Linked DNA regions of Anolis sagrei. The protein of the gene in region 3 interacts with the protein of the main gene of each other region in a pairwise test. Links are inferred from orthologs where the notes say so. Each region holds a gene or a part of one and is shown on either strand. Other genes may lie near its edges.

Evidence for each region.
Region 1: the proteins of OTX1 (region 3) and SPRY1 interact in binary tests that used the Homo sapiens proteins (3 or more experiments, as listed by UniProt). The two-hybrid records come from large-scale screens. The link is inferred for Anolis sagrei from reciprocal best matches to the Homo sapiens genes OTX1 and SPRY1.
Region 2: the proteins of OTX1 (region 3) and TNS2 interact in binary tests that used the Homo sapiens proteins (3 or more experiments, as listed by UniProt). The two-hybrid records come from large-scale screens. The link is inferred for Anolis sagrei from reciprocal best matches to the Homo sapiens genes OTX1 and TNS2.
Region 4: the proteins of OTX1 (region 3) and CHIC2 interact in binary tests that used the Homo sapiens proteins (3 or more experiments, as listed by UniProt). The two-hybrid records come from large-scale screens. The link is inferred for Anolis sagrei from reciprocal best matches to the Homo sapiens genes OTX1 and CHIC2.

What each region holds. Positions count from the first base shown.
Region 1 is NC_090025.1:37,237,260-37,244,566, forward strand, and holds the start of SPRY1 (protein sprouty homolog 1), read left to right. Parts: upstream 1-4,265; 5' UTR 4,266-4,442; intron 4,443-5,525; exon of another isoform or gene 5,526-5,528; 5' UTR 5,529-6,182; intron 6,183-7,307. UniProt on the Homo sapiens protein: Inhibits fibroblast growth factor (FGF)-induced retinal lens fiber differentiation, probably by inhibiting FGF-mediated phosphorylation of ERK1/2. Inhibits TGFB-induced epithelial-to-mesenchymal transition in lens epithelial cells.
Region 2 is NC_090022.1:183,696,401-183,703,738, forward strand, and holds the start of TNS2 (tensin-2), read left to right. Parts: upstream 1-4,311; 5' UTR 4,312-4,364; coding exon 4,365-4,466; intron 4,467-7,338. UniProt on the Homo sapiens protein: Tyrosine-protein phosphatase which regulates cell motility, proliferation and muscle-response to insulin. Phosphatase activity is mediated by binding to phosphatidylinositol-3,4,5-triphosphate (PtdIns(3,4,5)P3) via the SH2 domain.
Region 3 is NC_090021.1:152,704,634-152,712,482, forward strand, and holds the start of OTX1 (homeobox protein OTX1), read left to right. Parts: upstream 1-4,827; 5' UTR 4,828-5,006; intron 5,007-7,132; 5' UTR 7,133-7,221; intron 7,222-7,849. UniProt on the Homo sapiens protein: Probably plays a role in the development of the brain and the sense organs. Can bind to the BCD target sequence (BTS): 5'-TCTAATCCC-3'.
Region 4 is NC_090025.1:74,480,693-74,487,568, forward strand, and holds the start of CHIC2 (cysteine-rich hydrophobic domain-containing protein 2), read left to right. Parts: upstream 1-3,874; 5' UTR 3,875-4,156; coding exon 4,157-4,275; intron 4,276-6,876.

The DNA.
Region 1 (7,307 bases), on a different chromosome or scaffold from region 3:
GTTCACAATGCTCTTTGATCATAGGTGAACTATAAATTCCAGCACCTACAACTCCCAAATGTCAAGGTCTATTTTCCCCAAACTCCACCAATGTTCACATATATTGAGTATCCGTGCCAAGCTTGGTCCAGATCCATCATTGTTTGAGTCCACAGTTCTCCCTGGATGTAGGTGAACTACAACTCCAGAACTCAAGGTCAATGCCCACCAAATCCTTCCAGTATTTTCTGTTGGTCAGGGGGAGTTCCAAGTACCAAGTATGGCCCAATTCTATCATTGCTGGGGTTCAGAATGCATTTTGATTGTAAGTGAATCATAAATCCCAGCAACTACAACTCCCAAATGTCAAGGCCTATTTTCCCCAAACTTCACCAATGTTCACATTAGGGCATATTTAGTATTCCTGTCAAGTTTAGTCCAGATCCATCATTGTTTGAGTCCACAGTATTTTCTGTTGGTCATGGGAGTTCCATGTGCCAAGTTTGGTTCAATTCCATCGTTGGTGGAGTTCAGAATGCTTTTGATTGTAGGTGAACTATAAATCCTAGCAACTACAACTGACAAAATCAATCCCCCCCCCCAACCCCACCAGTATTCAAATTTGAGCGTTTCGGGTATTTGTGCCAAATTTGGTCCAGTGAATAAAAATACATCCTGCATATCAGATATTTACATTACGATTCATAACAGTAGCAAAGTATACAGTTATGAAGTAGCAACAAAAATAATTTTATTGTTGGGGGTCACCACAACATGAGGAATTATATTAAGGGGTCGCGGTATTAGGAAGGTAGAGAAACGTTGCACTAAAGACTTCTGAATACATTTAGGACTCAGAGGATCAGACTACACATTACTACGGATAAGTAACATCCCATCTGGACTACTACAATGCATTGCATGTGGTTTTGCTTTTCAAATGAATGCCCCAGAAGCTCCAGTTGATTCAGAATAAGACGGCAAGATTATTGGCTGGACACTGCAACCATATGATGCCTTTATTTTGTCAGCTGCAGTGGCTCACATTTTGGGCTCCAGTTGAAAGTGCTGGCAATCCCTTGAACAGATCGGGATCAGGTTATCTGGAAAACCGATTTCCACCACATTTACCTATCTTAATATTTAGGAATCTCTTCAAAGGCTCTCTCCTCTATGTGGGTTGGATATGAAAAGAGGCAGGTGAGAATTAGGCAAAGGGTTTTCACACTTACGGCACTTTGGCTGTGGAATAGTTTTTCTAAGGATTGTGTGGGTGTAAAATCAGTTTTCCAGATAACCTGATCCTAGGATGCATCTATGCTGGAAAATTAATGTAGTTTGACCCCACTTTCACTGCATTGGCTCAATGCTAGGGAATCCTAGGAAATGTAATTTGATTTTGTGTGTGTGCATCAGGAGAGACTTGAGAAACTGCAAGTCACTTCTGGTGTGAGAGAATTGGCTGCCTGCAGAGACGTTGCGCAGGGGACTCTCTCATGTCCCTGCATGAGAAGGTGGAGCTGACAGATGGGAGCTCACCCCACTCTCCAGATCTGAACTGCCGACCTTTCGGTCAGCTGTCCTGCTGACACAGGGGTTAAACCAATTGCACCGTCAATCTAAACCCATTGATTAGGCACCAGTACTATTTGGCAGTACTATTTGGCAGTCCTTTTAAAACCACAAATCTCTAGAAAAACTAATATGCATTGTTGGATACACTTCCCGTTACAGCCCAACACCGATAGTACATCTACATTGTAGAATTAATGCAGTTTGGCACCACTTTAACTTCCCTCTCTGTGTGAAATGGATTAATGGAGTTGCAGTTCTGCAAAGGTGCTTAGCCACCTCTACCAAAGAGTGCTGGTACCTCGTCAAACTATAACTCCCGGGTCCCATAACATTGAGCCATGGCAGTTAAAGTGGTGTCAAACTGCATTCATGCACTTTGAAAGTGGAGAAATATCCATCCTTCGACGACACAATATCCATCCTCTTTTTCAGTGCTCATTGTCCTCTCAGGGAAGGCATCAGAGTCCTCAAGGTGTCATGTGTCACTCTTGGATAGGCACTTTAAAGCTTTCAGTGTCTAAATAATCGAAACAAGGAATACACCAGGTTGCTGTGAGTTTTCCAGGCTATATGGCCATGTTCCAGAAGCATCCTCTCCTGATGTTTCACTCACATCTATGGCAAGCATCTTCAGAGGTTGTGAGGTCTGTTGGAAACTCAGCAAGAGTGGTTTATATATCTATGGAGTGTCCAGGGTGGGAGAAATAACTCTTGTCCATTTGAGACAAGTGTGAAAGAACAAACCTGGACACAACATATTACTTGAAAACACAGAAATGCTGGACCACTCTAAAAACCACCATGCCAGACTACACAGAGAAGCCATTGAAATTCATAAGCATGTGGACATTTTCAACAGCCTTCTCTTCTTCAGGCTAAACATGCCCAGCTCTTTAAGCCGCTCCTAATAGGGCTTGTTCTCCAGACCCTTCATCTTTTTAGTCGCCCTCCTCTGGACACATTCCAACTTGTCAATATCTCTCTTCAATTGTGGTGCCCAGAATTGGACACAATATGGTGCGATGAAGAAATCCTGATATTGTGTCCAATTCTTCTTCTTCTTCCTCTTCTTCTTCTTCTTCTTCTCTTCTTCTTCTCTCCTTCCCTTCCTCCTCCTCCTGATGAGATGAAGAAATACTAATATTGTGTCCAATTCTTCTTCTTCTTCTTCTTCTTCTTCTCTTCTCTTCCTCCTCCTTCTTCTGGTGAGATTAAGAAATCCTGATATTGTGTCCAATACTACTTCTTCTCCTTCTCCTCCTTTTCTTCTTCTCTCCTCCTCCTCCTCTTTCTACTGGTGAGATGAAAAAATCCTGATATTGTGCCCAATAATTCTTCCCCTTCCTCTTCTCTTCTTCTTCTCACCTCCTCCTGATTCTTCTGGTGAGATGAAGAAATCCTGATATTGTGTCCTCTTCTTCTCCTCCTTCTCTTCTTCTCTTCTCCTCCTCCTTCTGGTGAGATGAAGAAATCTTGATATTGTGTCCAATTCTTCTTCTTCTTCTCCTTCTACTTCTTCCCTCCTCCTCCTCTTCTTCCTCCTCCTCCTCCTCCTCCTCCTCCTTCTCTTCCTCCTCCTCCTCCTCCTCCTCCTCCTCCTCTTCTTCTTCTCTCCTCCTCCTCCTCCTTCTTCTGGTGAGATGAAGAAATCCTGATATTGTACCCAATAATTCTTCTCCTTCCTCTTCTCTTTTTCTTGTCACCTCCTCCTCCTTCTTCTGGTGAGATGAAGAAATCCTGATATTGTGTCCTCTTCTTCTCCTTCTCTTCTTATCTTCTCCTCCTTCTTCTGGTGAGATGAAGAAATCCTGATATTGTGTCCAATTCTTTTCCTTCTTCTCCTCCTCTTCTTCTCTCCTCATCCTCCTCCTTCTTCTGGTGAGATGAAGAAATCCTGATATTATGTCCAATTCTTCTTCTTCTCCTCCTCCTCCTCCTCCTCCTCCTCTTCTCCTCCTCCTCCTTCTGGTGAGATGAAGACATCCTGATATTGTGTCCACTACTACTACTACTACTACTACTACTACTACTACTACTCTCCTTCTCTTTTTCTCTCCTCCTCCTCCTCCTCCTTCTAGTGAGATGAAGAAATCCTGATATTGTGCCAAATAATTCTTCTCCTTCTCCTTCTCCTTCCTCTTCTCTTCTTCTTGTCACCTCCTCCTCCTTCTCCTGGTGAGATGAAGAAATCCTGATATTGTGTCCTCTTCTTCTTCTCCTCCTTCTCTTCACCTCCTCCTTCTTCTGGTGAGATGAAGAAATCTTGATATTGTGTCCAGTTCTTCTTTTCTTCTTCTTCTTCTTCTTCCTCTTCTTCTTCTCCTCCTCCTTCTCTCCTCCTCCTCCTTCTCTTCTGGTGAGATGAAGAAATCCTGATATTGTGTCCTCTTCTTCTCCTTCTCCTTCTCTTCTTATCTCCTCCTCCTCCTTCTTCTTGTGAGATGAAGAAATCTTGATATTGTGTCCAATTCTTTTCCTTCTTCTCCTTCTACTTCTCTCCTCCTCCTCCTCCTTCTCCTTCTTCTCTGGTGCGATGAAGAAATCCTGATGAATGGTAAGCAAACCTTGGCATGAATGAGCGCGAGGAAGCGCGCGCTTCTTGTGTGCACTGGAAGGAGGCGGGCAAGGGAGAGTCCAGGCCGGGTTTTCCGGGCCGCCCTCCTGAGTGACAGATTGACATCATTGGGGGCGGGACCAAGGGGGCGAAAGGGGGGCTCGGCGCTGAAAGGTTCCCGTGCCGAGTTGAGCTCATTCTGAACAGAGCCACGCAAAAGGACAGCGCCGCTCGCAAGGCTTGATCGCCGCCACCGGACCTGCCCTCGGTGCCTCTCCGCCTTGGATTTAGCTTGCTGTGGATGCGCCTCGGGGAGGAAACACCTTTGCAATCGGTAATCCGCTCGGGGAAGGAGCTCAGGTGCTGCCCGAGCCCAGGCTGCCGAGCCCCAAAGCCTTGCAGCGTGCAGCCAAGGCGGAGCCTTTCCCGAAAGAGACTCCACGCAGCAGCAGCAGCAGCAGGAGCAGCAGCCTTATTGTTCGGATTGGGGGGCGCTTGGCGGGGACCTTCACCTTTCTGCAGTCTCCAAGCCTAGGTCTAAACAAAGCCTAAGAGGTTGGGAGGGTTGCTTTAGGGAACCCACCCAGTACAGGGCTCAAGATTGGGAGCTTCTGGCTTGAATGCTTCCAGGAGAGGGTCTTAAGAAGTCTCAAAATTGGGGAGGTCCAAAGAAGTCTCAATGTTTCCTTGGGGAAACCCAGAAATGAGGCTAAACTTGGGGAACTTCTTGCTCAACCTTCCCTACTACAAGGCTCTAAAGTAGGTGTGTGCAAACTTGGGCCTTCCAGGTGTGTTGGACTCCAACTCCTACCATTCCTAACAGCCTCAGGCTTAAGCGGCTGAGGGGGAAAAGGAAAGGGCCTGAGGCTGTTAGGAATGGTGGGAGTTGGAGTCCAACACACCTGGAAGGCCCAAGTTTGCTCATATGTGCTCGAACTGGGACCTTTCTTTGCCCCCACTGCTCTAACTGGGACCTCCCCCTCCCCAAGTGATATGTCTGTGCTATCTCTCTGTTTCTGCCTTGCTCAGAGTTTGCACCGTCTGGGTTTCCCCCCTTTTCCAGAACAGATATCCAAAATCAAAATGGGTGCCTGTCCAAAATCCCCATTGGGTGCCTATCCAAAATCCCCATTGGGTGCCCATCCAAAATCCCCATTGGGTGCCCATCCAAAATCCCCATTGGGTGCCCATCCAAAATCCCCATTGGGTGCCTATCCAAAATCCCCATTGGGTGCCCATCCAAAATCCCCAATGGGTGCCACAAGGCTGTCAAGCAAGCCGTCCCCCTCTCCAAAGCACATGGCAGCTTTGCCACAAAGTCATTGGATATATATTTTTTGTATGGAAGGGTGACTTCTACCTGTCCATTGCTCTCTTTACTGATCTCTTTCTTCTCCCTCCCCCCTTCAACTTCCAGCAGGCATCGCTTGGGCACTTTGTCTGGCTCCAGCTCGAAGGGACCATGCGGTGAAGCAAGAAAAAGGAGCTTGGAAAGTCGAGGAAGCGAGGCGCCCCACGCGCCTTGGAAGGAAAGCAAAAAAGAAGGAAGGGAAGTGCAGAAAGAGAGAGAGAGAAAGGAGACCAAGAGAGAAAGGAGACCAAGCAGCTTTCCACAAGAAGCCCCCCTTTTCCTTCCTCCCCTGGCTGTTGTTTACAGTCTCCCATTGGTGTGGATGCCGGAGGAGTTTGAGCCAGAGAGCACTTTGCAAGCTCAATCCAGCTCTCCTTTTGCTTTTCCACCTGGTAGCCAAAGAAGGCTTCCTTTTTCACCCCCTTGGATCTGAAGCGCATGGACGCCGCCTCTCTTCTTGAACAAGGGAGGGCTAGAGGCAACTCAATCGCCTTCTTTCCTTGAATGTTTGCCCTTGGGAAAGAGAGGGCTTTTGGGGCGCAACAGGATTGCTTTCTGCTCCAGAAGAAGAAGACGCCCTTGGCAACCCAGCAGCAAGGATTGGCAAAGGGAATCTTCTCTCAATGAGCCCTGCGGCATTTTAAGGCAAGGCCGACCTCTCCGGCTGGCTCCCCATGGATCTAACTTAGGGGTTGCTTTCACACGGAGTTGCCATTGCGAAAAGTAAGTGAGCCTCAGCAGAGCTTGCAAGATGGACTCTAGGGGCCTGGCTTGGCACCTATGAGCGAACAGGTGCCCTTAGGCAGCTTCTTTGGCTTTAGGGGCTTCCCGGGGATGACTTTGGGTTTCCGACCGAGTCTGGGGCCTCTTCCACACAGCTGAATAAAATCACACATTATCTGCTTTGAACTGCTTTATAATAAGAATAATAAGAATAACTACTACTACTACTACTACTACTACTACTACTGTATTTTTATACCCTGCCTCCATCTCCTTGAAGGAACCTGGGGTGGGTTACATAGGGCCAAGCCCAGATAACAGAGTTAAAACATAGCACATTAGAGTGCATCAACAGCAATTTAAAACAATACAAAATATAAAACAAGCGTCGAAACGCACAGCAATAACATAGTCAAGAATATATGGCAGTGTGGACTCCGATTACCCAGTTCAAAGCAGATATTGTGGGATTTTCTGTCTTGATATTCTGGGATATAGGGCTCTGTGGAAAGGTCCTGGGTGCATCTTGTCTTGGGTGCACCTTGTAGAATTTATGCAGTATAGTTTGGCACCACTTGAACTGCCTTGTCTCAGTGTAGACACACTCTTGGTTGCTTGACTGCTTCAGAGAGGCACTTTCTCCCAAGGCTGCCATTCCTGCTTTGAGCCCTCTCCTTGGGTGTAGCTACACTGTAGAATGAATGCACTTTGACACCACTTAAACTGCCTAATTCTTCTAATATTTGATAGTTTTAGTATATTCCAGAATTGGAAGTTTTGTTTCTATACTTTTTTGTGTATTTTCTTATTTGTTAACACTGTGGCATCCTGTGAGTTGTAGTTTTACAAGACAAAGAGGATGCGAGCATCACCAAACTACAGCTCTCCGGATTCCATAGCTTTGGGGCATGGCAGTTAAAAGTACATCTGTTCAACAGTGTAGATGCACCCTTGCTTGCTTTGACTCAGTGGAAGGCTGGGGATTTGGAGAGGGGTTTGGAGTACCTTTCCCGCCATGTGCTTCAGCAAATTGCTGCAATTATGCTTTGATTCCTCTTCCCGAGTGCATCTACACCAGGCATGGGCAAACTTCAGCCTTCCAGATGTTTTGGACTTCAACTCCTA
Region 2 (7,338 bases), on a different chromosome or scaffold from region 3:
AAATGAAAAACAACACAACAACACACTCACAAAACGGCAAAACAACAAAACTCAAAAATCCCCCAACGAAACGTAACTAAAATCCCCGTGCCCATAACATAACCCACAAGAAACAAACATATCTACTCAAAATGAAAAACAACACAGCAACACACTCACAAAACGGCAAAACAACAAAACTCAAAAATCCCCCAACGAAACTTAACCAAAATCCCCGTACCCATAACGCAACCCACAAGGTACAAACATATCGACTCAAAATGAAAAACAACACAACAACACACTCACAAAACGGCAAAACAACAAACTCAAAAATCCCCCAACGAAACTTAACCAAAATCTCCATGCCCATAACACAACCCACAAGGTACAAACATACCTACTAAAAATGAAAAACAACACAACAACACACTCACAAAACGGCAAAACAACAAAACTCAAAAATCCCCCAACGAAACTTAACTAAAATCCCCGTGCCCATAACATAACCCACAAGGTACAAACATATCTACTCAAAATGAAAAACAACACAGCAACACACTCACAAAACGGCAAAACAACAAAACTCAAAAATCCCCCAACGAAACTTAACCAAAATCCCCGTGCCCATAACACAACCCACAAGGTACAAACATTAGGCCTGTTTGATCAAGAAAAAATTTGTTTCTAAATTCGATTCTTAATTGGGGTGTTTTTTTGTTTCGATATTAAAAATATTTACAAAACTTACCAAAAAAATGTTTTGTTATTTACGAATTTTCGTTATTATTTACAAAACATTTTAGAAAAAAATTTTTTCTTGATCAAACAGGCTAAGTGTGAATGTTGCAGTAATGGTCACCAATGGCTTTCTCCCACCCTGGACATTCCATAGTATTAGAGATGATATATAACTCACCATTTGCCTAGTTTCCAACAGACCTCTGAGGATGCCTGCCATAGATGTGGGCAAAATGTCAGGAGAGAATGCTTCTGGAACATGGTCATATACAGCCCTGAAAAGTCACACAAGCCGGATGGCGCGCGGAGGCCGCTTGTGAGCGCGCGCGCGCCATCCAATGGGCTCCGGCTCCTGCGCCCCCCCTCCTCCTCCTCCCAGCTGGCGCGCGCGCGCTCACAAGCGGCCTCCGCGCGCCATCCGGCTCCGGTTCCTGCGCCCCCCCTCCTCCTCCTCCTGGGAGGAGGAGGAGGAGGGGGGGGCGCAGGAACCGGAGCCGGATGGCGCGCGGAGGCTGCTTGGATGGCGCGCGCGCTCACAAGCGGCCTCCGCGCGCCATCCGGCTCCGGTTCCTGCGCCCCCCCTCCTCCTCCTCCTCCTGGGAGGAGGAGGAGGAGGAGGGGGGGCGCAGGAACCGGAGCCGGATGGCGCGCGGAGGCCGCTTGTAAGCGCGCGCGCCATCCAAGCGGCCTCCGGCTTCTGCGCCCCCCTCCTCCTCCTCCTCCTCCTCCTCCCAGCTGCACTTCCTGCAACACAGCTGGGAGAAGGAGGAGGAGGAGGAGGGGGCGCAGGAGCCGGAGGCCGCTTGGATGGCGCGCGCGCGCTCACAAGCGGCCTCCGCGCGCCATCCGGCTTCTGCCACGGTGCACTGCTGGGGTGCTTGGGAGCGCCGGATTGGCTCCCAGGCTCCAGCACTGCAGCACCACTCAGCAGCAGCCTCCATGCCATTAACGACACGAGCTGAAGCTCGTAAAATACATGGGGCTGCTGCTTCGATATTTTTAAACCCTTCCGGGTTTAAAAATATGTTTTGATATCGCGTCGGATATTAAAAAAATAACGATTAAAAAACGAAAAACGAATTAACGAAACAAAACCGACAGGCCTAACAAACATATCTACTCAAAATGAAAAACAACACAACAACACACTCACAAAACAGCAAAACAATAAAACTCAAAAATCCCCCAACGAAACTTAACTAAAATCCCCGTGCCCATAACACAACCCACAAGGTACAAACATATCTACTCAAAATGAAAAACAACACAGCAACACACTCACAAAACGGCAAAAGAACAAAACTCAAAAAAACCCCAACGAAACTTAACCAAAATTCCCATGCCCATAACACAACCCACAAGGTACAAACATATCTACTCAAAATGAAAAACAACACAACACAACACACTCACAAAACGGCAAAACAACTGAGCATGCGCATTGGCGCCCAGCCGCAAGTTCCACTGCGCGCGCACATGGCCTTCCGGCCAACGTTCCCTCTGCGGAAACCATGCCCACTCCAAGCCCCACCGCGCCGCTTCCCGCACACACACACACCCTGCCGCACACACACACGCAACCCCACGCTCCATCACTCCCCCCGCCGCCGCACACACACACGCAACCCCACGCTCCATCACTCCCCTGCCCCAATCTTACCTCCTTTTACTTCAGGCCACCTCCAAACCCCACCCCGCCCCTTCCCGCCCTGTCAAAATCTAGGAAAGACAGGAAGGAAGGAAAGAAGGAAGAAAGAGAAAGGGAGGTAAAGAAAAAGGGGGAAGGAAGGAAAGTTAGAGGAAGAAGAAAAGGAAAGAAAAGGAAAGATGGAAGGAAAGAAAAGAGAGACAGCAGAAGAGAAAGAAAAAGGGGGAAGGAAGGAAAGAGATAGAGAAAGAAGAGGAGAAGGAAAGATGGGAAGGAAGGAGGGAGGGAGGGAGGGAGGGAGGGAAAGAAGGAGAGAAAGAGGGAAGATTGGCCACAGCAACACGTGGCGGGTAAAGGTTGCTATTTCTATTATTATTATTATGCTATTGTTCCTCTGAGACCCTTTTAGGGGGAATGGGAGAGGTGTCAGGTCCCGGAGGCAATGCATTGCATTATTGTTATTGTTATGATGGTGGTGAAATAAAAGGAAATAAAAAGTGAAAGAAGGAAGCAAACAGGGAGGGAAGAAAGGCAAAGGAAGAAAGGGGGAGGGAATGAAGGAAAGAGAGAAGGATGAAACCAAGTAGTGAAAGAAGGAAAGAAAGAAAGAGGGAGAGAAGGAAGAAAGTAGAGAAAGGGGGAGGAAAAGGGGGAAGGAATAGGTAGGTACCTCTCTTTCATAATAGTCCAGATATCTACCTCAACTTTGATAAGTTTTACTATAGGCCACAGCAACGCGTGGCAGGGCACAGCTAGTTATTTATATAGATAGATGGAGCCAATGCCTATGAAAGGGGTGGCTCTTAAATAATCTTGCTGTATTGCCGAAGACTAGGTTGTTGCAGGTTTTTCGGGCTGTATGGCCATGTTCTATAACAGTGGTTCTCAACCTGGGGTCCCCAGATGTTTTTGTCCTACATCTCCCAGAAATCCCAGCCAGTTTACCAGCTGTTAGGATTTCTGGGAGTTGAAGGCCAAAAACATCTGGGGACCCAAGGTTGAGAACCACTGTTCTAGAAGCATTCTCTCCTGACGTTTCGCCTGCATCAATGGCAGGCATCCTCTTGCTGTGTCCAAAGGGGATTTCTCCCAGATAAGTATGGACCCTTTCAGACAGGCCCTATATCCCAGGATCTGATCGCAGGTTTTCTCTTTATCCCAGATTATCTAGCCGTGTGGACTCATATAATCCAGTTTAAAGTAGAATTAGATCCTGGGATATAGGGCCTATCTGGAAGGGCCCTGTGTCTAGGCATATACCTTTGAAAACCCAGAAGTTGCCGAGCCAATGTATATAAGATTTAACATAAATGTTTATCCAGCCCATCACGCGCGCACACATCTATATACACATTCCTGCTTAGGAAGCAAAAACCAAGCTCTTTTCCTCCTCCCTCTCTTGAGATGGGCCCCGAATCCGCTGACCCAGAGCACCAAAAACTGGAAGGAAACAGGATACAGATCTGGCTGAATGGTACACATGTCTCTTTGTTACTCCCAAGCTGCTCTGGAGGGATTTTCCAGTGGTAATATGTTTCCAATTATCCTGTTACGCTCTTTGGAGTCTATGCATTCTGACAAGGCGTCCTTTCCGTTTCCAACAATATGTCATCTCGCCCTGCTTTCCCTTCATTCCATGTTCTTCCCCCCAAAGGTGATGACCTTCATCCCCATGTTACATGCACGCTTACACATAGAGTCCGGCTAATTTACCTACATCCCAAGAGCTTGGCTTTTGCCACCTGTTTACAGGCCTGGTTTTATAAGCTCGCACGCGGCTTCATCTGGCAGGGCTGAGTTTGCTCTGGCACTGAGCTAAATATTATTAAGGCGCTCTGTGTGTATGTGTGTGTGTGTGTGTGAGTGATGAAGGGGGGGGTGGGACAGGGAGGAGGAGTTTGCAAAGCAAGGCAGTTCCAAAGATTCTGAGAAGGGGGAGAAAATTTGCCCACAACTTTGCCGGAGAAAGGAGTTGGGACTCGGAGAAGGGGATCGTATGGGCTGGACAGGAGGGCCTGATTGTTGGGGGACCGACTGCTGCTCTGCACCCCAGGCAAAAGGGGGCCCAAGAGGCACTGCCAGAATGCAGCTGACCAAGGTGTGTGGCTAAAACCCTGCTCTTTTTCTCCTTGCTTGGTTCTTCTTTACACAGGGCAGCATGGAATTACTGGCTGCGTCATTGGATGGAAATCATTCAGCCCGAGGCGCTGGCTGTTTGTGGCACAGGATGGCAAGGGGTGTATGTGCGTGTGCGTACAAAGAGAGTTGCTGGCTAGGAGCAGAGGGAGAATTCATAACCTCCCAACTTTCTGCACATTGATGAAAGTCAGAGCAGGTGTGTAAGCTGTGTCAACGGAAACCTAGTTCAGTTTTGAATCTTTGCCTGCTTTACATTAGTATTCTTTATCTACTTTGTGGCAGCCTCCTCTCGCAGTCTGTTAGTAAACGGTCTCTAAGAGTCTTTAGTACAATGCTTGATGGATATGACCAATCTTCTGACAACATAGCAGCAACTCAAGGCTAGTATACTGATGTTACTGGCAGTGATGGTGGGTTTTTTGTCGTTTTTCCTTTGTCGTGTCAGGAGCGGCTTGAGAAACTGCAAGTCGCTTCTGGTGTGAGAGAATTGGCCGTCTGCAAGGCTGTTGTCCAGGGGACGCCCGAGTGATTTGATGTTTTTATCATCCTTGTGGGAGGCTTCTCTCATGTCCCTGCATGGGGAGCTGGAGCAGATAGAGGGAGCTCATCCTCCTTTCCCCGGATTCGAACCTGTGACTTGTTGGTCTTCAGTCCTGCCGGCACAGGGGTTTAATCCACTGCGCCGCCAGGGGCTCCTAGTGATGGTGGGTGGGAGCAAAGGAAACAACACAATGAATTAATGTGAGCAAGTTGCTTAGATGTACCACTGTCAGGATGCATTCCCTGCTACTCGGACTGTAACTTTTATTTATTTATTTTATTTATTTACCTCTGAGGATGCTTGCCATAGATGCAGGCGAAACGTCAGGAGAAATGCCTCTAGAACATGGCCCTATAGCCCGAAAAAAACCCACAAGAACCTTTTATTTATTTATATGAAACTGGGTTTTTGTTGGGTTTTTTTCGGGCTATATGGACATGTTCAAGAGGCATTCTCTCCTGACGTTTCGCCTGCATCTATGGCAAGCATCCTCAGAGGCAATCTTTGAGGATGCTTGCCATAGATGCAGGCGAAACGTCAGGAGAGAATGCCTCTTGAACATGGCCATATAGCCCAAAAAAACCTACAAAAACCCAGTGATTCCAGCCATGAAAGCTTTCGACAATATGTTTATTTGAAACATTTATATTCCACCCTCCTCACCCCACAGGGGACTCAAGGCAGAGCACAACATATATACGGCAAACATTCAATGCCGGGACATACTTAGGTGATCCCTCGTAGTCCGAGGATGATGGTCCTCCAAGTGTAGTATCCTGGCAGTGGGTCTATAGGTGACTGTGGAGCCCTATTCTTGATCTGCACCTTCTCCCACAGTGAGGGCATCCAGGTGGAAGGCGGTCCCGGTCAGGGTTGGCTTGATACTATTTCACCAGAAGACATACAACTTTGAAGGCCTAGGAGATCAAAGCCATGCAGTCATTCCTTCCCACCAGGCACTGATGGGCTTCAGGAGTACACTGTGGTGCCATCTAGCTTTCTTTGCACTCCTGTAGCACATGTGTTGTGCAAGGAGGTATTGAATACCTCTGTGCATTACCCTCTGAAAGTGTGTGCATTACCCTCTGAAAGTGTGTGCACTTGGTTGAGCCACCAAGAAGATTCTATGTTTTGGAAGTGACTTTCCCAAGCTCTGAGGTTCTGTTTGTGAGAGTTGCTATTGTTGGCACTTTTCAAGTTTCTTTCAATCCCGTGGGGCTGCTGTATATTTGTTTTGTTAATACTTCTTGGCTATGATGCACATTTGTATGAATGCATGCACATGGGTTTTTAACTGTCAGTATACTATGTTGTTGTTGAGTGCCTTCAAGTCATTTTTGACTTACAGTGACCCTAAGGCAAACTTACCATGGGGTTTTCTGGGAATGAAAACATAAGTTGCCTAAGGCCACTTAATAGTTTGTCATAGCTGAGCAGGGGTTTGAACCCTGGGGTATTGTGTTGGTTTCTGAGCTGTATTACCATGTTCTAGGAACATGTCGGCTAGAAACCACACAACACCCCAGTGATTCCAGCCGTGAAGGCCTTCAACAATACATTGATTTGAATCCTGTTTTCCAGAGTTGGAATTCAGCACTCAAACTACTACACCATTCTGGTCCAGTACTGCTTTTCTACATAGCTTAGAATAGGCTTATTAAGACAGTAAAAGAGAAAAATCCTCTTATCTGAAACTATTGTGTAAGTGCAACTGGATCTACTGTAAGATTGAGCATTCTATTAAATATGCTTAACATCCATTTAAAAAGTAAAATAGTGACGGTTCATAAATAAGCACATCTTGTTTAAGAAGCCAGATCTGATAGAAGCCATCCTATTTTCCTAATGATTAGTTGGTTCTCAGTTTCCTCTTCATGTGCATGATTGCCAAAAAGGCAGATTTGCTTGGAAAAGTTTGGAAAGGTTACTTTTCTAGACTGTAACTCCCAGAAAACATGTGCTAGCACACCCAGCGGTTCTCCTCTGTTGAACACAACAGGGCTTATTTTTTGTGCCAAAGATTGCACAATAAATAAATGGTTGTTGGTATGTGCCTTCAAACTCTTTCTAACTTATGGTGACCCTAAAGTGAACCTATCATGGGTTGTTGTTATTTGTTTTGGCAAGTTTTTCAGAGGAGGTTTGCCATTGTCCTTCTCAGAGGCTGAGCAAAAAGTGTGTAACCTGGTGAGCTTCCATGGCTGAGTGAGGGTTCAAACTCCCAGAATCCTAACCCAACCCCCACCTACACTGCTCTGGCTCTCCATAAATAAATGTTAAGTTCTAACCT
Region 3 (7,849 bases):
TCCTCTATTAAAACTTTGGAGAGAGGATTAGCTCCTATTAATATTTATGAGCCAAAAGGACCAGATCTCCTCAAATATGGCGCTCCCTCCTTTGTGTGAGCAGAGGCAGGTGATACATAATAATAATAAAAATTAGGAAAGGCTACAAAGTATCTCTCTGGAGATAACTCCCATCTATTATTATTATTACTATTATTATTATTATCTAGACGTAGGCCGATCTGGAGATAACTCCCATCTATTATTATTATTATTATTATTATTATTATTATTATTATTATCTATATTCTGGAGATAACTATTATTATTATTATTATTATTATCTAGACGTAGGCCGATCTGGAGATAACTCCCATCTATTATTATTATTATTATTATTATTATCTATATTCTGGAGATTATTATTATTATTATTATCTAGACGTAGGCCGATCTGGAGATAACTCCCATCTATTATTATTATTATTATTATTATTATTATCTATATTCTTGAGATTATTATTATTATTATTATTATCTAGACGTAGGCCGATCTGGAGATAACTCCCATCTATTATTATTATTATTATTATTATTATTATTATTATCTAGACGTAGGCCGATCTGGAGATAACTCCCATCTATTATTATTATTAGTATTATTAGTATTATTAGTATTATTATTATCTAGACGTAGATCTGGAGATAACTCCCATCTATTATTATTATTATTATTATTATTATCTATCCTGATTCACATCCTTTGGTGGAAGGACCTGTTGGAAGGAAGCAAAACTTCTAAACAAACTTAGAAAAGGATTGTCGGGTTTTTTCCCCCCCGTCTATGTTGTAGAAGCACTCTCTCCTGACGTTTCGCCTGCATCTATGGCAAGCATCCTCAGAGGTTGTGAGACATTTGGTGACATAGCTTAATCAACCTCAGAGGTTGTGAGACCTCTGAGGTTGATTAAGCTATGTCACCAAATTCGAAAAATAAAATATGTTCCTGGTTTGAATGTGTTCTTTCCTGTTTAATCACTGGGTTGTTGTAGTCCCCCCCCCCGGGCTATATGGTCATCTTGTAGAAGCACTCTCTCCTGACGTTTCGCCTACATCTATATCAAGCATCCTCAGAGGTTGGGAGGTCTTTAGCTTCAGTTAATTTAACGATGTCACCAAATTCGAAAAAATAAAATCTGTTCCTCGTTTGAATGTGTTATTTCCTGTGTAATTGTGCAGGACTTGACTTTGAAAGTAGTTGTTCTTACACCAGAAACTTCGGGGGGGTTTTTTTGTGGCTGGCACAAACTCACAACCTCTGTGGATGCTTGCCATAGATGCAGGCGAAACGTCAGGAGAGAATGCTTCTACAAGATGACCATATAGCCCGGAGGAAAAAACGACAACAATCCAATTATTCCAGCCATGAAAGCCTTCGACAATACATTAAACTTAGAAAAGCAGCTCAAAATAACCCCGGATGGGAAAAGAAGTGAGATATCTACATTGCTGGTAGACACATATAATCCAGTTCAAGTCTGAGACAGTGTAGATCCCAGCCTGGGAAAAACATGCCAGCGCATTTTACTCATACTTTTTGCTACCTATTTCTAAGTCTCATGGGCTGATTTTGAGGTAAACAAACATTTGTTGTTGAAGGCTTTCATGGCTGGAATCACTGAGTTGCAGTGAGTTTTTCGAACTGTATGGCCATGTTCCAGAAGCATTCTCTCCTGACGTTTCGCCTGCAAGTAAGTAAGTAAGTAAGTAAGTAATAGCAGGCATCCTCGGAGGTTGTGCAGGCAAAACGTTAGGAATATCTCAACCAATTCCTACCTCACAACTTCTGAGGATGCTTGCCATAGATGCAGGCGAAAGGTCAGGATAGAATGCCTCTTTTGGAACATGGCCACACAGCCTGAAAAACCTACCACAACCTAGTGATTCTGGCCATGAAAGCCTTCGATAAGACACTAGTGGATTAAATTTGATAGATACTCTCCGAATTCAAATTCCACTACTACTTGAGACCATCAAATCACAGCTGTAGTTCTCTCAAGACTGGAAGGCAGGATTGAAGAGGCACAATTCAGAAGTGTGTTTGTAAACTAAAGGAAGGATGCCTGCTCTAGATGTGGGCGAAACGTCAGGAGAGAATGCTACTGAGAAATGCCCATATAGACCGAAAAACTCACCGCAACCTAGTAAACAAACATGCCTTCCGACCCGTTTGATTTTTGAATGAAGGACACAAACTATTGCGAACGTCCATTCTTTTCCACTTCGAGGCAGATCTCTTCCAAAATAAAAAGCGGAGGGGAAAGTTTAAGCAGGAAAAAACACTATATGTCACAACATTTCAGGGAAAAAAACATGTTCCTGTTTCGAAAGTATTATTTCTTCTTTAGTTGTGCTTCCCTTGCTTTGAAAGGAGTTGTTCAACTCCAGAAACTTCAGTTTTGCTGCCACAAACTATGTCGGAATTGAGTATGTTGTAGGTCTTTCGGTCAAAACCAACACTTGGTATTGTCGAAGGCTTTCATGGCCGGAATCACTGGGTTGTTGTAGGTTTTTCCGGGCTATATGGCCATGTTCTGGAGGCATTCTCTCCTGACTTTTCTCCTGCATCTATGGCAAGCATCCTCAGAGGTAGTGAGGTCGGAATTGGTTGAGATATTCACTGAAAAACTCGAGCGGTATGTTTTGTATTTTTATGGGGGTTTTTTTTGCAATTGAATAAAACTTTCTCCATGTCTTCAATAATAGAACCAATGAAGAAATGACATATTAACCCAGGAATTAAAAATAGTGTAATAAATCCGACTAGGAAGGAAAGGAAGAGGGAAGAGGAAAGGAAAGAAAGGAAAAAGGGTAGGAAGGAAAGGAAAAGAGGGAAGGAAAGGAAAGGAAAGAGGGAAGGAAAGGTTTGTGTGATTGATCCTTGGTATAAAGGTGTATAAAACAAATATAGAAACCAAACATTGACTGAAAACAAGTCAGTCTTTGCAACAATAACAAGGCAGGATAGACAGAATTATTTTCCTTTTGATGGAAGAGTTGTTACCCCCCCCCCCCGCAGATAAAATGTTGTTGCTGACACGATTTGTGACACTCAGAAAGCTTTTGTTGTTCTCCAAATTTTTCGTGACCAAGGATCTCTCTCTCTCTCACACACACACACACACATATATGGGGAAATCGCCTTTGTGTGTGTATGTGTGTGTGAGAGAGACAGACAGACAGACACACACACATCTATCTATCTATCTATGGGGAAATTTAATCCAGTGGTTTGTGCGTGTGTGAGACCCACACACACACACACATATATATATGGAAATTTAACCCAGTGGTTTGTGTGTGTGTGTGTGAGAGAGAGAGAGAGAGAGAGAGTGAGAGAGAGACACACACACATATATGGAAATGTAATCCAGTGGTTTGTGTGTGTGTGAGACACACACACACACACACACATATATATGGAAATTTAATCCAGTGGTTTGTGTGTGTGAGACACACACACACACACACACACACATATATGGAAATTTAATCCAGTGGTTTGTGTGTGTGTGTGAGAGACACACACACACACACACACACACATATATGGAAATTTAATCCAGTGGTGTGTGTGTGTGTGAGACACACACACACACACACACATATATGGAAATTTAATCCAGTGGTTTGTGTGTGTGAGACACACACACACACACACACACACACATATATATGGAAATTTAATCCAGTGGTTTGTGTATGTGAGAGACACACACACACACACACACACACACATATATGGAAATTTAATCCAGTGGTTTGTGTGTGTGTGACTCATGTTAATCCCACAAACGAACATTTATATATACACACACACACACACACACACATATACATACATACATACATACATACATACATACGGGGAAATCACCTTTGTGTGTGTGTGTATAAATGTTCGTTTGTGGGATTAACATAACTCAAAAACCACTGGATGAATTGACACCAAATTTGGACACAATACACCCATCAAGCCAACGAGTGACCATCACTCATAAAAACACTGCAAAACACAACAGAAGAGACTTAAAAAGGCAAAAATATGAAAAAATACATTACAACTCATGCGCAAAACCACATATACGCATATATACACATAGGAAACACGTATACACAGACTGGGCCACAGCAAAGCGTGGATGGGGACGGCTAGTATACACACACACACACACACATACACAAACAGGTGATTTCCTCGCAGAGAGAACCTGAGGATATCAAAACGGATCATCATCATCATCCTATCTGCCTTGGTCCTGTCTGCTTCGTTGTGTCTAAACGGGAAACGGGGGGTCCCGACCCCTTTTCTGAGCTCCGTGTTGAGGCTCTGACACGGATTTGTGAGTGTTTACAATGTGGAAGATGCTTCCATAAAGAGGAGGAACCCGCCTCTCTCTCTCCTGCTTTCTGATCAGTCCATGTTTGGTTCCTACTCTTGTTTCACACGCTTCTCTCCTTGGAGAGCTCCTCAGAAAAGTTTTCTTGGAATCAGAAGCCTTGCCCGCCCTACCCTCCGTCCTCTTTCTTTCTCAGGATAGATAGAAGCGGGACCCCGACCTTGGCGCGCATGGATGTCCTCTGGGGGCCCCAACCCGGCTCTGCCCCGCTCTACCTGCCCCGAGGGCGCCGCCGGGGAGCGTGGGCGGGGCGCGGGGCGTGGCCTGGGGGAGGGAGCCCCGTCCCGCGCCGCCATTGGCCCCGGCGGCTGTCGCTCGGCGCTCCCGCGCCCGCCCATTGGCGCCGTCCCGGGTCCCGCCTCCGCCCGGCGCTCACATACCCGGGGAGGGCCCGGGAAAGGTGATCAATCTTCGCCGGGCGACATTTCCTATCAGCTAAACAGCTGGGCGGGCGAAGGGAGGCTGCGGCTTGGAGGGAATCTGAAGAACGAGCGAGGTGTTTCCGTGGGAAGAGAGAGAGGCAGCGCGGGGCCGGTCGGGGCGCCCCCCTCCCTCTCGCGCGGACAGGTGAGGCGCCCCCCTCCCTCCCCGCCCCCCTCTGCCCCCTCCCTCCCCTTCCCCCCTCCCTCACTCCCCCCCTCCCCTCCCCCTTTGGAGGAGTCCGAGCCTCTCCTGGGAAGGAAGTCCGGGCAAGGGGAAGAGGAAGGGAGCAGCGGCGTCGGGCGGAGCGGCGGACACGGAGGAGGCCAACTTTTCCCTCCCTCCGTTGCTGGAGGTGCGGCTCCCAGAGAGACCTCTCTCTCTCCGTCTTTCAATCTCCCTGCCCCAGCTACCCCCCCCCTCCTCCTTCTATAGAAACTTTCCTGAAACTTTCTCTCTCTGGTCGGGTCCGGAGGGGGGAAAGGCGCGCGGAAGGGCGCGCGCGAGGGGGAGTCCGGGCGGAAGGAAGGAAGGAAAGAAAGAGGGAAAGAAAGAGGGAAGGAAGGGAAAGGAAGGAAAGGAAAGAGGAAAGGAAGGAAAAGAAAAAGGAAAGGAAGAGGAAAGAAAAGAGGGAAGGGAATGAAAGGAAAGGAAGCGGTAAGGAAAGAAAGAGGGAAGAAAGGAAAAGGATAGGAAGGAAAGAGGGAAGGAAGGAAAGGAAGAGGAAAGGGAGGGAAGGAAGGAAGGAAGGACGGGGTCCCAGGAGGTTCGAGCCCTCTTCCCTCCCACGCGCGCGCTCGCTCTCTCTTAGCTTTGCGGCCCTGCTGGAAGCACAGCGCGAGGCCGGAACGGAAGGAAGGAAGGAAAGTAGAAAGGAAGAAAAGGAGGAGGGAAAGAAGGAAAGAGCCAAGGGGAGGAGGAAGGAAGAAAAGAAGGGAAGGAAGGAAAAAGCGAAGGGAAGAAGGAAGGAAGGAAAGTAGGAAAGAACAAAAGTAAGAAGGAAGGAAAGTAGGAAGGAAGAAAAGGAATGAAAGAGCGAAGTGAAGAAGGGAAGGAAAGTAGGAAGGAAGAAAAGGAGAGAAGGTAGGAAAGAGTGAAGGGAAGAAGGAAGGGAAGGAAGGAAGAAAAGGAGGGATGGTAGGAAAGAGTGAAGGGAAGAAGGAAGGGAAGTAGGAAGGAAGAAAAGGAGGGAAGGTAGGAAAGTGTGAAGGGAAGTAGGAAGGAAGGAAAGTAGGAAAGAAGAAAAGTAAGAAGGAAAGAAAGTAGGAAGGAAGAAAAGGAGGGAAGGAAGGAAAAGCGAAGGGAAGAAGGAAGGAAGGAACGTAGGAAGGAAGGAAAGTAGGAAGAAAGGTAAGAAGGAAGGAAGAAAAGGAAGGAAGGAAAGAGCGAAGTGAAGGAGGGAGGAAGGAACGTAGGAAAGAAGAAAAGTAAGAAGGAAAGAAATTAGGAAGGAAGGAAAGTAAGAAGGAAAGAAAGTAGGAAGGAAGAAAAGGAAGGAAGGTAGGAAAGAGCGAAGGGAAGAAGGAAGGAAGGGAAGTAGGAAGAAAGGTAAGACGGAAGGAAAGTAGGAAGGAAGAAAAGGAAAAGGGAAGGAAGGAAAGAGCGAAGGGAAGGAGGAAAGAAGGCTGCTGTGAGTTCATAGCCATACAACCTGAAAAACTCAAAGCAACCCAGTGATTCCAGCCACGACAACACGAGGAAGGAAGGCCTTGCTTCCGGGAAAGTGCTCCTGACCTATCTTACCACATATTACCCACATTGTGCGTGGTACGGGTCAGCATTGAGCATATTATTGCACTTCCAAGCGGGGCGCGGGGTGGAAGAGGGCGGATCGGGGCCATTTCCCCAGTCACATCCCTCCTTCCTTCCTTCCTTCTGGGGAAAGAGAGAGGCGGCAACAGGTCTACTTTCTTGTCCCCTCGCCTCCTTGAAACCCCACTTTTCCTACTCTTTGGGGTTCCATCTCGGCTGCCTGTCTCAATAAATCCCATTCTTAGAAAGCCTCCACCCGCATCATCGGACCTTTCCATTCCTGCAGAAGGCTAGTTCGAAAGCGCCTTGAGTATTCTGTGTGGATGCGGCCTTTGTCCCCTCTTTCCGCAGTTTCTGGGGATGTTGGCGTCGTTTCAGGCACGACTTTCCCTTCCTAGTCAAGGATTATTTTTCCCCCGTGTCAGGAGCGACTTGATAGGGTTTGTAATACAATATAATGCGATCCGTGTCCTTCTTCTTGTGTCCCCCCCCCCCTTCCTCCCTTTCTTCCCTCTTTCCAGGAAAAGCCAATGCCGTCGCTTCTTCGCAGCCCTTAAGGAGCCTGGATGCGCCTTTTCCTTTCGCCGCACTAAAACCCGCAGCGACACGAGTGAGTTTCCTAATAATCGCCCCAAAACTGGACCCAAACTTCCTCCTCCTTCGTCGGGATCTCTGTGGATTTCAAAGGACCCCGTTTTGTTTTTAAGCCACTCGCGGTTTCTAATTGCCCTTCTGTCCCCCTTTTTCAATTAATTACTCTCTCTCTCTCTCCTCTCTCTCTCTCTTTCTTTCTTTTTGGAATCTCGTTTTGATTTCTAATCCAATTATCTTTTTAAAATAATGGCCCTATCTCCCTCCCTCAGCAGCCCGCATTGTCCCTCCGAGAAACCCCTCGGCGATTGTATGGGAAGCATCACCAGGGCTTTACAGGGAGGAAGAATCACCCCATGCCTTAACCCCCCCTTCCTTCCTTGACTCCCTTCTTAACACTTCTAGTTTCCCTAGAAAGCCGCCATGTTGGTTGTGTGGATGTGTGTTTTTCCAAAACTGCGCGAGGACAAGACTTTGGGAAATTATGAGATCGGTTTGACGCCTTCAAAAGGAGTTTGCTTCTGCTTTTTCCTTTGAGAAAAATCAAAACAGTTGAAGGAAGGCTCAGTCTATACAGAGACGGATCTAATGCGCTTCAAGCGGCCTTCTTTGAGAGACGGGACCCAACACTTTCAAGGAAGGCCGGC
Region 4 (6,876 bases), on a different chromosome or scaffold from region 3:
AGTGGTCCGCAAGAATGAAAATATGGTTGCAGCCTCACCATTACACCGTTGTCTCAAAACCACGCGGTAATGAGAGCAGCTGGTCTCACAAAACCCTCTTATAGTGCCGATGCAACGGGGATGTTGGGAGAGGAGAAGCTGACTACCCACGAAAGATTACTACTACTACATCAGCTCTAGATTATGAAATATGGTTTTCTGTGAGCAAGCACATGGAGACTACTGAATGGCATATGTTCTGTATCAGAAACTAATTGATCTGCACTTCAGGTAGTGAAGTCAATTAAACTGTTTTTAATAGATATGTAAACTAGGATTCTTCATAAAAGTTAGAGACAGTAAGAACAGAGGTAAACAGCTTTACCAGTAGATTGTCTCCATCAAGGAAGTCACAGCCTTGAATTCGCAGGGTCCTGAGCAGAGTTACTGATCACAGAATGTCTTGTGGGTCTCTTATTCTTAGGGTTTCCATTGATGTAGATATTTGTTATCCTGTGCCTTCAAGACTTCTCATGGTGTTTTCCTGGCAAGATTTATTCAGACAGTGTGATTTGCCCAAGTGAGTTTCCATAGTTGAGAAGGCATTTGAATTCTGATCTCCCAGAATCCTAGCCCAGCATTCAAACCATCATGTTGACTTTTGGTTAAGGCAATTTGATGGCAATAAAGATCAACAATGTAAACTGTAGCGAATTGTTACTCTATATGAAATTTTAGTACATAGATCTATGTTCGCAGGGGGCAGATAAGGAAGATTAGAGACAAGAGAGGATAGCAACAGAGGGACCGGATTTATTTGCATATGGAGGCTGATTGGTCATATGCAGATTAGCATAGCCCCAGGATTTCAAAAGGTTGGGAGACAAAATGACAGTTGGGAAGAGCAGGGCCGAACATTCTAAAGGGGCGGAGTTAAGTTCAAAAAGGAGGGGAGTTAGAGAGAGAGTTTTAAAAAGAGAGTTAGTTGAGTAGGGATTGCAGTTTGAGAAGGACAGAGAGTTAGGGATTCCTGTTCATGAATGGTAGTTAATAAATCCTGTTAGAAAAGTAAGCCGCTAGTCAAATAGAGTACAAGTTTTGAGAACTTAAAGAAAAGCCAGTGGTGCTTGAATCGGAAAGTAATTTTAGTCCTGTATGTGTAAAGCAAATACCATCTTGATAAATGAGAAACATTGAAAGCCTATTTCAGGAAAGTGCAACAAGTATACTATATGTGACTGAAACTTAAGTTTGCAACAAAAATAGTAATTGTAACTACAAACATTGGAGCCTGAAGTGTTTGAATAAACTTGTTACTTTGTTTCATACAAGAGAGACTCAAGCCTGTGATTTCCAAGCCAAGAGGCTTCTGCTTTATAACACTCATAGCAATTCAGATATTAAAGATTTGACCGAGGACTGCATATAGGTGCATGCTTCTTTACACCAATTGGTGTCCTCCCTCCCTGGTGTTACATAAACCAAGAGTGTAGGGGTGTTTTATGCTACAACTGACTGTATTTGTAACTTTATATTTTTAAATTATGATGTGTGTTATTTTGTTTGTAAAGACTGGGATGAATTGGGAGTCATATAATATGACAGAAACATGTGTACATGTTTTGGCTCAACCTTCTAGGCTACACTCCATTTGGACAACTCAACAATACATTATACTTTCAAGAAGGCCTCAATGAGACCAGCAAGCTTCACTTCCCATCACCATAATTTATTTACATAGTGTCAACACTGCACATGTGTTACAAGAAAAACAACAACGAAACCAGTTCTTGCCCTCAGGCTTACAATCTAATTGAGACATGACACAAAAGGAAATGATGACAGCAATGTGGGAGGGGATTAAGTCTCATAGCTTCACTCTACCCGCAGCCAAGGGAGGGTTTTTGATCTACTTCTGGGCCTAGGCATGATAGAATTGTGCCTGCTTCATTTCTCTATCCTTGAACAGGACAGTTCCAATTTGTTGTGTTTCTAGACTCAGCCACTATGAAGTTCTCCAGTCAGGGCAGTGGCAGCTGGGATGGATGGAGGTCCTTCATTTACTTCTTGGTTCAGGAATTATAAAGTTCTGCTTTCTCCTCCTTCCAGAGTCAGGGCAATGGCAGTTGGGATGTGTTTACAGGCTCAGCCACTATGAAGTTCTCCACAGTCAGGGCAGTGGCAGCTGGGATGGATTGAGGTCCTTCATTTGCTTCTGGGCTCAGGCATTATGAAGTTCTGCCTTTATTCCCTCCACAGTCAGGGCAATGGCAGTTGGGATGTGTTTACAGGCTCAGCCACTATGAAGTTCTCCACAGTCAGGGCATTGGCAGCTTGGATGGATGGAGGCCCTTCATTTGCTTCTGGGCTCAAGCATTGTGAAGTTCTGCCTGTATTTTCCTCGTCAGGGCAATGGCAGTTGGGATGTGTTTCTGGACTCAACCACTATGAAGTTCTCCAGTCAGGGCAGTGGCAGCTGGGATGAAAAGAGGCCCTTCATTTGCTTCTGGGTTCCGGCATTATGAAGTTCTGCCTGTAACTCCCTCCACAGTCAGGGCATTGGGAGTTGGGATGTGCTCATAGAATCATAAGACTTGGAAGAGACCTCATGGGCCATCCAGTCCAACCCCCTGTCAAGAAGCAAGAAAATTGCATTCAAAGCATCCCTGACAGATGGCCATCCAGCCTGTTTAAAAGCTTCCAAAGAAGGAGCCTCCACCACACTCCGGGGCAGAGAGTTCCACTGCTGAACGGCTCTCACAGTCACGAAGTTCTTCCTAATATTAAGATGGAATCTCCTTTCTTGTAGTTTGAAGCCATTGCTCCGCGTCCTAGTCTCCAGGGAAGCAGAAAACAAGTTTGCTCCCTCCTCCCTATGACTTCCTCTCACATATTTATACATTTATTTTTATGTTGTGTCAGGAGCGACTTGAGAAACTGCAAGTTCTCTTCTGGTGTGAGAGAATTGGCCGTCTGCAAGGACGTTGCCCAGGGGACGCCTGGATGGTTTGATGTTTTTATCATCCTTGTGGGAGGCTTCTCTCATGTCCCCGCATGAGGAGCTGGAGCTGATAGTGGGAGCTCATCCGCCTCTCCCCGGATTTGAACCTGCGACCTGTCGGTCTTCAGTCCAGCCGGCACAGGGGTTTAACCCACTGCGCCACCGGGGGCTCCTATATTTATACATCATGTCTCCTCTCAGCCATATCTTCTTCAGGCTAAACATGCCCAGCTCTTTAAGCCGCTCCTCATAGGGCTTGTTCTCCAGACCCTAAAGAAAGATACTTAGTCCATATCTATACTTATCAGAAAAGAGGCTCCAGAACTGTTCTTATGCAACATCAGAAGCACCCCTTCACAGGGCATGTTGGGCCAGGGGCACATTGAAGCTGCTGCTATTGCCACCACCAGCAATTATGTCTATCATGGCTCCTCTCAGCCTTCAATTCTGAAGACTAAACATGCCCAGCTCTTTAAGCCGCTCCTCATGGTGCTTGTTCTCCAGACTCTTGATCATTTTAGTCGCCCTCCTCTGCTTGTCAATATCTCTTCAATTGTGGTGCCCAGAATGGGGCTCAATATTCCAGGTGTGGTCTAAAGCTCTGCCTGCCTCTTCACATTTTCCTCCCAGAGTTGAAAGAGGCCACAAGGGCCTCCACAGTCAGGGAGTAATAAAGGAAGGCCTTTTGTCTCTAGGCTTAGAGAGGCCTGTAGGGAATCAGGCTGCTTCCTGTCCAAGCCATCCATCCACCCCACTGTCCCTTGACCTCGCCGGATTCTGACTTTTCCGGCCGCGAGGGGCGCATGCGCGGGCCAGCCGTGCGCTCGCGACGAGGGGAAGGGGGCGGGGCCTGGCGCCGAAAGCCGCGCGCTGAGTGGCTGCGGGGCGCGCGCAGGCGAGCGAGCGGATGTTGTGGCGGTTGTTGTTGTTCCTGCGGCCCGCCCCCCTCCGCGGGATCAGGACGGGCGCTTCCTGCCGGCCGCGCTGAGGGCGAGGAGGAGGAGGAGGAGGAGGACTGCGGAGGCTTCTTCTCCGGCCGAAGGAGCGGGAAGGCAGAGAGCAGCGGCGGCGGCGCCTGGCTGGGTCTTCCCGCTCTCTCTCTCTCTCTCGCTGGCGGAGGCTTCAGGGCCTGCCTTCCGGCCCCGCGCGGCTCCTCGGCCGGGCCCCGTCGTGGCCATGGCGGACTTCGACGAGATTTACGAGGAAGAGGAAGACGAGGAGCGGGCCTTGGAGGAGCAGCTGCTGAAGCACTCGCCGGACCCGGTGGTGGTGCGCGGCTCCGGCCATGTCACTGTGTAAGGAAGGGAGGGAGGAAGGGGAGGGAGGGAGGGAGAGGAGAGGAGGCCTGGTCCCGACCATCTTGGCCCACGACGAGGGAGGCCTCTGACCTTCAGCCTAGTTCCCCTTTCGGAAAATGTAGGCTAGGGGTGCATCTACACAATGGAATGAATGCAGTTCAGTACCACTTTTAATTGCCATGTCTCAGAGCCAGGGAAGGCTGTGTTTCGGTGAGGCCCCAGCAGTCAAGGCTTAGGGCCCTTCCACACAGCCCTATATCCCAGAATATTTGCTTTGAACTGGATTTATATGGCAGTATGGACTCATAACCCAGGGCCCTTCCACACAGTCCTGTATCCCAGAATACCAAGGCAGAAAATCCCACATTATCTGCTTTGAACTGGATTTATATGTCAGTATGGACTCAACCCAGGGCCCATCCACACAGTCCTATTACCCACAATATCAAGGCAGAAAATCCCACAATATCTGCTTTGAACTGGATTTATATGGCAGTATGGACTCATAACCCCGGACCCGTCTACACAGTCCTATTACCCATAATATCAAGGCAGAAAATCCCACATTATGTGTGTCAAACTGGATTTATATGGCAGTATGGACTCATAACCCAGGGCCCTTCCATACAGTCCTGTATGTCAGAATATCAAGGCAGAAAATCCCACATTATCTGCTCTGAACTGGATTTATATGGCAGTAGGGACTCATAACCCAGGGCCCTTCCACACAGGCCTATATCCCAGAATATCAAGGGAGAAAATCCCACGTTATCTGCTTTGAACTGGATTTATATTGCAGTATGGACTCATAACCCGGGGACATTCCACACAGTCCCATTACCCACAATATCAAGGCAGAAAATCCCACAATATCTGCTTTGAACTGGATTTATATGGCAGTGTGGACTCGTAACCCCGGGCCCATCCACACAGTCCTATTACCCACAATATCAAGGCAGAAAATCCCACAATATCTGCTTTGAACTGGATTTATATGGCAGTATGGACTCATAACCCAGGACCCTTCTACACAGTCCTATTACCCATAATATCAAGGCAGAAAATCCCACATTATGTGTGTCAAACTGGATTTATATGGCAGTATGGACTCATAACCCAGGGCCCTTCCATACAGTCCTGTATGTCAGAATATCAAGGCAGAAAATCCCACATTATCTGCTCTGAACTGGATTTATATGGCAGTAGGGACTCATAACCCAGGGCCCTTCCACACAGGCCTATATCCCAGAATATCAAGGGAGAAAATCCCACGTTATCTGCTTTGAACTGGATTTATATTGCAGTATGGACTCATAACCCGGGGACATTCCACACAGTCCTATTACCCACAATATCAAGGCAGAAAATCCCACAATATCTGCTTTGAACTGGATTTATATGGCAGTATGGACTCATAACCCAGGGCCCTTCCATACAGTCCTGTATGTCAGAATATCAAGGCAGAAAATCCCACATTATCTGCTTTGAACTGGATTTATATGGCAGTGTGGACTCGTAACCCAGGGCCCTTCCACACAGCCCTATATCCCAGAATATCAAGGCAGAAAACCCCACATTATCTGCTTTGAACTGGATTTACATGGCAATATGGACTCGTAACCTAGGGCCCTTCCACACAGCCCTATATCCCAGAATATCAAGGCAGAAAACCCCACATTATCTGTTTTGAACTGGATTTACATGGCAATATGGACTCATAACCTAGGGCCCTTCCACACAATCCTATATCCCAGAATATGAAGGCAGAAAATCCCACATTGTCTTAGTGTGGACTCAGATAACCCAGTTCAAAGCAGATATTGTGGGATTTTCTGCCTTGATATTCTGGGATATAGGGCTGTGTGGAAGGGCCCTTGAAACTACTGTTCCCATGAATCCATAGTGTTGAACCATGGCAGTTAAACTGCATTTATTTATTTCTATCCCATCCTTCTCCCTACAAGGGGACTCAGGGCGGCCTTAATAATAATAATAATAAAATAAACTTTATTTATACCCCGCCACCATCTCCCCAAGGGAATCAGAGCGGCTTACATGAGGCCAAGCCCAACAACACATCAATAGAAACAAAAGCAATAAACAAAAACAATAAATACAATACAATTAATATAAATCACATATAAACAATAACCAATAAACAGTAAACACAAGGATTTTAAACCTATGGCCGGGCCAAATATAATAGTTTAAAATTTTAAAAAATAAACGCTGGGCATGAACAAGGTAGGATATATCTGGTATAGGATTTTAAAAGAGATGAGGGAGCGCAGTCAATCCTAAACCAGTAGTAAAGTGCATTCTGAGGACATATTGCTGTGAAATTTTCCTTATTCTGGGAAGGCACACTGGAACAGCCACGTTTTCAAGCTCCTCCTAAAGACTGTCAATGTTGGGGCAAGCCTGATATCCTTGGGAAGTGAGTTCCAGAGTGGGGGGCCACCACCGAGAAGATCCTCACATTAGCATCAAGTGATGCAATCCAGATATATACCAATGAAATTACAATTAACACAATAAAATCCATTTAAGACATTATCCAGATTCAACAGTCAATTCATTAACAGTAAATTAGCGTCT